Linked DNA regions of Drosophila melanogaster. The protein of the gene in region 1 purifies or fractionates together with the protein of each later gene. This does not show direct contact. Each region holds a gene or a part of one and is shown in the gene's direction. Other genes may lie near its edges.

Region 1 (4,426 bases):
CAGTCCTCGCAGTCGTATTGGTCCTGCACCGCCTGCTGTGTGAAAACCGCTTTCGTTCGGCCCGTGATGTTCAACAGCTCCGTGTGGAAGAGGGCCAGTGGCGCCATTAGGGCCTCATCGCCCACCTGTATGGTGTAGCGCAGCCACTGGCCGTTATGTTTGCGCAGGTTGAAGTGCTTCTCCTGGGCGCCACAAACGCTGGCGTTCAGGTGGCAAAACTTTTCCTTCAGCTCGTCCAGCAGATGGGCATCCACATAGCTCTCCTGCACATTGCACTCGCGATAGGGAAAGCCGCACTTTCGCAGCAGCAGGAGTAGCACCTGATCCAGGTCGCCGCCGCCATAGGACAGCCGCACCCTGGCATCCAGCTGCGAAATTCCGTCCTCGATGCAGGCTATGGAGGTCTTTTGGGCGCCAATGTCCACCACACAGCCGTACCCAATGCCGGCGCCAAAGGTGGAGGCGACGCTGTCCTGGACGAGGAAGCAGCGCCGAAAGCCCAAACGCCTCAGCAGCAGGGTCACGAACTCGCGCAGATGCCGCCGCACATAGACATCGTTGACCACCAAGACGGCGCAGTGGGTGCCCAGTTTACGCAGCGGGATCTTCAGACGCTCTTCCAGGGCGTACGACCAGATTCGTTCCAAGTGCTGCATGCTGGCCTGAAAAAAAAAAAACAGCTTCATCAGTTTAGTTTGGAAACTACGAGGAACAACGCAGCACACACTTGTAGCGAGCCGCCCTTCTCGTTGTGCACATTCAGCTCGCCCCTTTGAATGGGAAAATGGATGTCGTAGTTGCGGGCATCCACAGCACCGAGTCGCAGGATACGGTCGTCGAACAGCACGGGTGCCTCGCGATCCAGCCAGGGCTCGTCCGCCATCTGGCCACTGGGCGCCGGCACCTTCTCCGCCTGACTGCTCCGGTTGAAGTGGGCCAGTTGCTGCGGCGGAGTGGCCACCCGCAACCGGTTTTTGTTATCGACGACGCAGTGCTGCAGAATGCGCGACACCACCAGGCGCTGCTCCTCGAACTCCACCATCAGGCCGGAGTTTGAGTTGACGTTGTCCAGCGGCGGCAGCAGCGGATCATGATGCGGCCTATCGCTGGCCCCCGGACGCCTCCTGTAGGCCACCGCGTGCAGCAGGGTCAGCGGATTAAGGTCGGCCGCCCTGCCGATCCTCAAGTGCTGCGATCCAGGATGGATGACGATAATCTTTGGCGCCTCCAGTGGCTGCGCCTGCGGCTGGGGCAGCCCAATTGGCGGCGGCGCCGGATGCCGGCCACTGCTGGTGCTGCTGGCTCGGGATCGTCTGGACGAAGGGAGAGTAGCCAAGTTGCAAAATTAGTTGCTTCACATACCACTTACTTATTCACTTACTGCATCGTTTGCTTTCCGAAATCCGGATCCTTTGAAAATGCGGAAATCGGAGGCAACAACAAATGGCAACAAAGCCAATGTGACCGTGGTGCGCAAATGAGAACATTTATAAAACAGGAACACAGGAAAAACAGAAAGTTAAAGTAATAAAAAAATAGGGCTGATTTACAAAACTCATTTTTCATTAATTACTATTAATTCATTGTTGAAATTCAAAGCACTCATATATATAACATATAACAAATTCTTTGTTTAGTATATTGTGTGTGGATGGTGCCGACGTGAGTGCCGTCTGGTCACACTGTCAAGAACGTGGTTTTGTTTTTTAATCATCACCATTAAATTGAGCAGCCTTACTTTCCATTGTGAAATACGCCATTCCAGAGTGCCAACGAAAACGAGAGTGCCAGTCAAGCGATCATCGAATCCACTCAGCGCCACAATGTCGCACTTCACCTGCCTGAACTGCGATGCCCGCTTCGCCAGCGCGGATGTGCAGCGGAATCACTACAAGACCGACTGGCATCGCTACAATCTGAAGCGCAGGGTGGCCCAGCTGCCGCCCGTTACGGCCGAGGAGTTCCAGCAGCGCGTTCTTAGCGCCCGCAGCGCCACGGACGCGGCACTCGAGGAGCAGAACCTAAGTGTCTACTGCCACGCCTGCAGACGCCAATTCGCCAGCCAGAAGGCGCACGACAACCACCTGAACAGCCGCAAGCACAAGGAGCTGCTGGCCCGCTTCGAGCGCGAGCAGATGACAGCTAGCGGCGGCAGCGCCAGCACCGCCACATCCGTGTGCACGCGCAGCGTCGTGGAGCAGCGGCCCCATCCGGCCCTGGCCGCCGCAGCCGCTGGCAAGGGTCGACTGGCCTTCGCGGAGCGGGTGGTCAAGGCCAATAACGACGAGGAGATGGTCGACGAGGACGACGATGATTTCGAGGACATTGAAGAGGAGGAGGTAGGAAGCGCTATGCAGATAGAGCTCGCATTAGACTTTTCCTTGCTCATAGAAGGGTTACCTTGAGAATGATTTCCTTGGAGATTCTATGCCTGGTTAAGATATGCACCTTTACAACGTATACAGCTTCTTATAAAGAACAACTTGATTTTTTGCAGGTGGATTCCGATGAGTGGGACAAGATACCCGAGAATCCGCTGACCGAGCGCGACTGCCTGTTCTGCACACATGCCAGCGAGGATCTGGTGGAGAACCTAAAGCACATGTCCGTGGCGCACTCGTTCTTCATTCCGGACACCGAGTACTGCACGGACATCGAGGGCCTTCTGTACTACCTGGGCGAGAAGGTGGCCAACTACTTCATCTGCCTGTTCTGCAACGATCGCGGCAAGACCTTCTATTCCCTGGACGCCGTGCGCAAACACATGATCGACAAGGGCCACTGCCAGATGCTGCACGAGGGTGTGGCGCTGGCCGAGTATGCCGAATACTACGACTACAGCAGCAGTTATCCGGACAATGTGAGTATCACATAGCACAAGCAAACCTCCATTTATGCTGACTGAATCTTGGAAAACCTTTTAACCCGCACAGAATGAGGGCATGGACATTGACGAAGAGGTGGTGCCGGATCTGCTCGATGGCGATGAGTATCAGCTGGTGCTGCCCTCAGGCGCGGTCATTGGTCATCGCTCCCTGCTTCGCTACTACAAGCAGCGTCTTCGTCCGGAACGCGCCGTCGTCATCAAGAAGTCCGACCGCAAACTGCACCGCGTGCTCAGCGAGTACCGGGCTCTGGGCTGGACGCAAACGCAGCAGCTGTCCGCCGCCCGCAAGGCACGCGACATTCATCTGATGAAGCGCGTCCAGTCCAAGTGGCAGATGAAGCTCGGCTGCAAGGCCAATAAGCTGCAGAAGCACTATCGTGCACAGGTTCTGATCTAATCATCGCTTGCTTTTCTTTCCAAATGCTATTGGCCTCCCCCCTACTTGTACAATAAAAAGTTTTTGAGTTTTGCTTAAATTAAGCATATTTGTTTGCTTTCTATATTACTAGCGATTTCTCGTCGAATAAAATTACATAATTTAAATTAACAATTAAATAAAGTTTAATTTTGATTCGTTTATATAAAGTAAAAGTATGTCGTTACGGTTACTGCATAAAGTTAAACATTATAATTAGACCAAAAAAAAAAATAGGTTCTAGCGTGTAAAAAAATAAACTCTGCCGAATCCATCAAGGCGCCCACACGGCATCCCCTCCCCGATCCCGGGCGACTGGGGGCGTGGCCGGTGCTGTGGGCGCGGCGGTGAGAGCTCGAAGTGACTAATCAGTAAGAACCGCAGGTGAGTGAGTTTTCGTGTGTTTCGTGGGACCTGAGGGTCAATTTCAGCTAGTTAATGTTAATGTATTTTTATTTTGGACATGTGTCTGTGTTGCAGTGATCTTCATCGGGCGTCTTGTCTTACAATGAACCAAGAATCTCAGCTTCTTTTCAGGAAAAGCTGAAAGTGTGACTATTACCACTCAAACAAAACAAAATGATCTTCGCTATTTATCCAATTGAAGTCACGTTGTCACAATCGCTAATTAAAAGAATTTTCATTTAAAATTGTCTACATAGAACAGAAATTTTCTTCACTTAAGATCTTACAAAAGCGCAGATGAAAATATTAACAATTATTCGTCAAAATTAGTAGTATATGTACATCGAAGTACATCGTACATGGTATGTAAAATTGGAAAAACGTGTGGACAAGACCCCCGATTACCGACCAACTATGGTGCTGCTGCGTTGGTGAATTTGTGGTTCCTTGGTTTGTGGGCGGGTGGAGGCGTTGGTTGGCGGTGCAATAAATAGCAGCAGAGAGCGGCAAAGGGCGTGAAAAGTAGTGTTTTAAGCGAGCATCCAACGTTCTTTGCTTGCTTCCAGTTTATGCTAATGTATAACTACAGGATTCTGTTGAACACAAACGCCCACCATGGGTGACGACGAGGAGGCATCGCTGCTGCTGGCTCCGGTGGCCGAGCCGCTGCTGCCACTGCCGACACTTTGAGAGATGCCCACCTGCGCGGCGGGTCCGGT
Region 2 (3,493 bases), on another chromosome or scaffold:
TCCTCTGCAATGCGTGTACCCCTTATGACCGCCAGTCCGGCTGCTTCTTTGCAAATGAGACGCACACTTCTCTCATCAATGCTGTCGGCAGGCAAAGCCAACTGCTTAAGGTACTCCTGGCACTTGTGATACACCTGGTCGGCGTCTTGCAGCGCCTGTTGGCGGTAGATGTGCTGCAGGGCGATATAGGAGTCCGTATTGGCAGTCATGTCCGGCAGAACGCCAGGCAGAGGGAGATGGCCCTCATTCTCATGTATCACAAAGTGCTTTAGGGCCTTGGCCATGATCCAAAAGACGTTGCTCTGTAAAAAAAAAAGAAAAACAAATGAAAGTAAAGTATACGTATAAATTCAGATTATATGGGCAACCTTCTTGTTTAACTGTTCGCAGGCATCATCTTCGAATATGGCTTTCAGGCTTTTGGGAACCTGTCCCGCTCCAAAGGCTGTATTGACCGCCTTGATGGCCTCTTCATAGTTTTCCTCATCCGCCTTCATCTCCTCTCTAATGGTCTCCTTCAACTGATTCTTCTCTTTGTAATTTCGAGGCGTTTGAGTCCCATCCGCTTGTTGTTTTTGCCACACATTAAGGTATTTGTGAAGAACCAGCAACCAGGGCACCTTACTGGTCACCTCGGTGCCGTCGAGATGCTCCCGCAAAGCATCGAATGGATGCTCCAGACGCAGATCAAACTGTCGATTATCCGGATGCGCCTCCACGATGCAGTGTTCCCGTATTTGCAAGCGTATTGTGCCCAGCATGCCAAGCGATCGGCAGTAGATTAATGGAACGTTAAGCTCCCATAACCGTTCGGCCAGGAGAAGCAAAGTCTGCTCATTGAGATTGGAGGCAATCACTAAATCGAAGCTGTCGAAGAAGTTCGGTCTGTTGGCTAATAAAAAGTCGGCACTCTCGTCGACATAATCGCCATTTACGTCGGGATTGAGTTCCTGGAGAAGTTGCATGCAAGCCAATGCTTTAGATTTGCCCAGATAGCTGGAATCGAGGAAGAAACTACGGAAAAAGTGACTTTATAATGGTGGTCAGGGAATGTGTGATGGTCTACCGACTTGTTGCCCAGATCCTCCTCCTTGACGGTGCTGCCATCGGCCACAGTGAAGCCTCCGATACCGGGTAGCACCAGTCCCTTGGCAGTTTCACAGCCGACGGCCGTAACATTCACCAAACATACTGTGGCTGCCTCCAATAGCGTCTGTCCATGCTCTCCCCACAGCCTAAATAGGTGTCATCAGTGCTATGCTTCCGAATTTATCAATTAAAACGCTCCTCACCTGATTTGTCTGTCGTATTTCTTGCTTTTATCCGAAAGCTCTGGCGATTTGGGGGCTGGCGAGGACATTTCACTAGATTTTTGTGCAATAATAAGCCGGTTGCAAATAATCCAGTACTGTAAAGCGCCGGCAGCCAATACTTCTGACACAATTTGTTTATTGGGTGGAGTGTTGGAAAAAACACGTTGGTAATTTTAACTGTTGCTTATTTAAAACATTTATTGACTATTACGTATTACATTTCATTTAATTTTATTGCATTAAACTACATCTACGTACAAGCAATCAGTCTTTACAAATAAAATGTATAAACAGTTGAGAAATTAAAAAGTGAAAGTCTGAGCAAACCAAATAAAGTGTCTGGTTGACAGTTTTTGAATAGCATTCCATGGCTATGGTTTTGGGTGAGTTTTAATATTGATTTTCAACATGCAATTAATTTAATTAAATAATACCGCTAACTGTTTGTTGGCTGGGCAGTGTAGGCAGCGCATTTTGCAACACTGGGAGGGCTAATGAACAGCTGTTTTATCGTGTAATTTCACAACAAAACAACGCATACATCGCTGTGTTTTCTTCTGCATTTCCGTCCGATTGCGATCCAATTTGAACTAAATAAATATCAGTATTATCACGGAGATAATGCCGGCCAAAAAGAGAACTGCCGCGTCGACCAGCAAAAATAGCGATTCGCCATTAAGTCCGCACACAGACGATCCAGCGTACAAAGAAAAAAGAAAGAAAAACAATGAGGTAAGTTTAAGAGTTTTGGATGTAAACAGAGAGCAAAGATTGGGAAACATGTTGCTGTGGCGCCGTGGCCCCCAGAAGTCCCCAAAAATAGATGCCCACTATTGATTTATTACTATTCTCGGAACAGGCTGTTCAGCGCACACGCGAAAAGACCAAGAAATCGGCCGAGGAACGTAAGAAACGCATCGATGATTTGAGGAAGCAAAACGATGCTCTTAAGGTTCAGATCGAGACGAGTGAAAAACATATATCTACGCTTAGAGATCTGATCATTCAGGGTGAGAAAACGGAGGACGGCCATCGAATCATCCAGGAGATTCTCGCTGAACCAGATCCCGATCCCAAGGACAATGACTAACGAGGAGCTTCTCCTGATTTACCTTCTTATATTTTCATACTTTTAAGCCATTTCCCATGGTTGTTAACCATGTGTATCATCTTAGTTTTTCGATTAAAATGGTGCAATTGCTCGAATTCTATTACAAAGACAAGCACTCATGCAGACGAGAACAGTGTTTGTTAAAATCCTACATAAATGGTTTTCATTATTGGTGAGTTTTTATCATTTCTCACCAAATACTTGTTTTTGTTGTACTTTTCTTTTACTTTTGTTTATATTGTAACACTTAATCACTGTATCCATGTTGCACTGAATCTAAATTTTAAAATTATCTATATTTAGTAATAGTGATTTCTATTATTTTCGACATGATTCATACAGCTAAAATCATGCGAGTCTTGAATCAAATAAAGTGTCTATTATGATTTTACCCATATCAGTGTTATTTTATACCCAATACTTCAGCTGTTTACAACTACTACTACTATTATTATTTCCTTGAAAGTTGATGAACTCATTAATCAGAAATACAACCCAGATTCCATCATATACATATGTTCTACGTTTAAGTAGAACTTCCGGCAAATTAGATACTAACCGTCGTAAACGTCCAATTTCTCCATGTGTAGGCTAAAGACCTCGTCCATTTTCCGAGATATGAACATATGAACTAAAACTATAGCTATTGAGAAAGTGTCGTTGTGCCGATAGGTTTTTGGTTTCGGGTGTCCCGTTAGGTCTTGCTCTCTTTGCTTTTGTTGTGGGCGCTCCTTCCGTCTTCTTCTTTCAAACACTCACAAAAACATTGATTTACTGCACTTTTCGCACATTCATTTGATGCACAACTCGACGGCGATTTGATTTGGCGGGTGGTTGGTTTCGTGTCGAAATGGAAGTTGGATTGTGGGGCTTTTTTCGCGTTCAATAAATTGCCGTCTTCCGCTAATTAGCACCACCCGCACACTGATTCCGATTCAATATCAATTTGAAGTTGCTCACATGGCACGAGGCGAAATAAACTGAAATGTGTTTTCAGTTTTTACAGCGTTGCTTTGTTGTATTTGGCTGGTCGGCAGCTGAACGTGTATTTCCTTATTTTTTATTTATA

What was found. Proteins that work in one complex are often made in the same cells at the same time.
Region 2: the proteins of CG6769 (region 1) and Irbp18 purify together in Drosophila melanogaster (affinity purification with mass spectrometry, with the first as the bait; one large-scale study listed by BioGRID). This does not show direct contact.

The regions. Positions count from the first base shown.
Region 1 is NC_004354.4:17,859,341-17,863,766, forward strand, and holds CG6769 (uncharacterized protein), read left to right. Parts: upstream 1-1,661; 5' UTR 1,662-1,823; coding exon 1,824-2,339; intron 2,340-2,497; coding exon 2,498-2,860; intron 2,861-2,933; coding exon 2,934-3,284; 3' UTR 3,285-3,435; downstream 3,436-4,426. Other genes in the region: Arp8 (Actin-related protein 8), read right to left, coding at 1-662, 728-1,313, 1,382-1,386; mnb (minibrain), read right to left, coding at 4,280-4,426.
Region 2 is NT_037436.4:11,096,552-11,100,044, reverse strand, and holds Irbp18 (inverted repeat binding protein 18 kDa), read left to right. Parts: upstream 1-1,858; 5' UTR 1,859-1,903; coding exon of another isoform or gene 1,904-1,934; coding exon 1,935-2,045; intron 2,046-2,172; coding exon 2,173-2,403; 3' UTR 2,404-2,599; downstream 2,600-3,493. Other genes in the region: APP-BP1 (beta-Amyloid precursor protein binding protein 1), read right to left, coding at 1-302, 369-1,014, 1,071-1,235, 1,293-1,360; CG33947 (uncharacterized protein), read right to left, coding at 1,904-1,953, 2,984-3,032.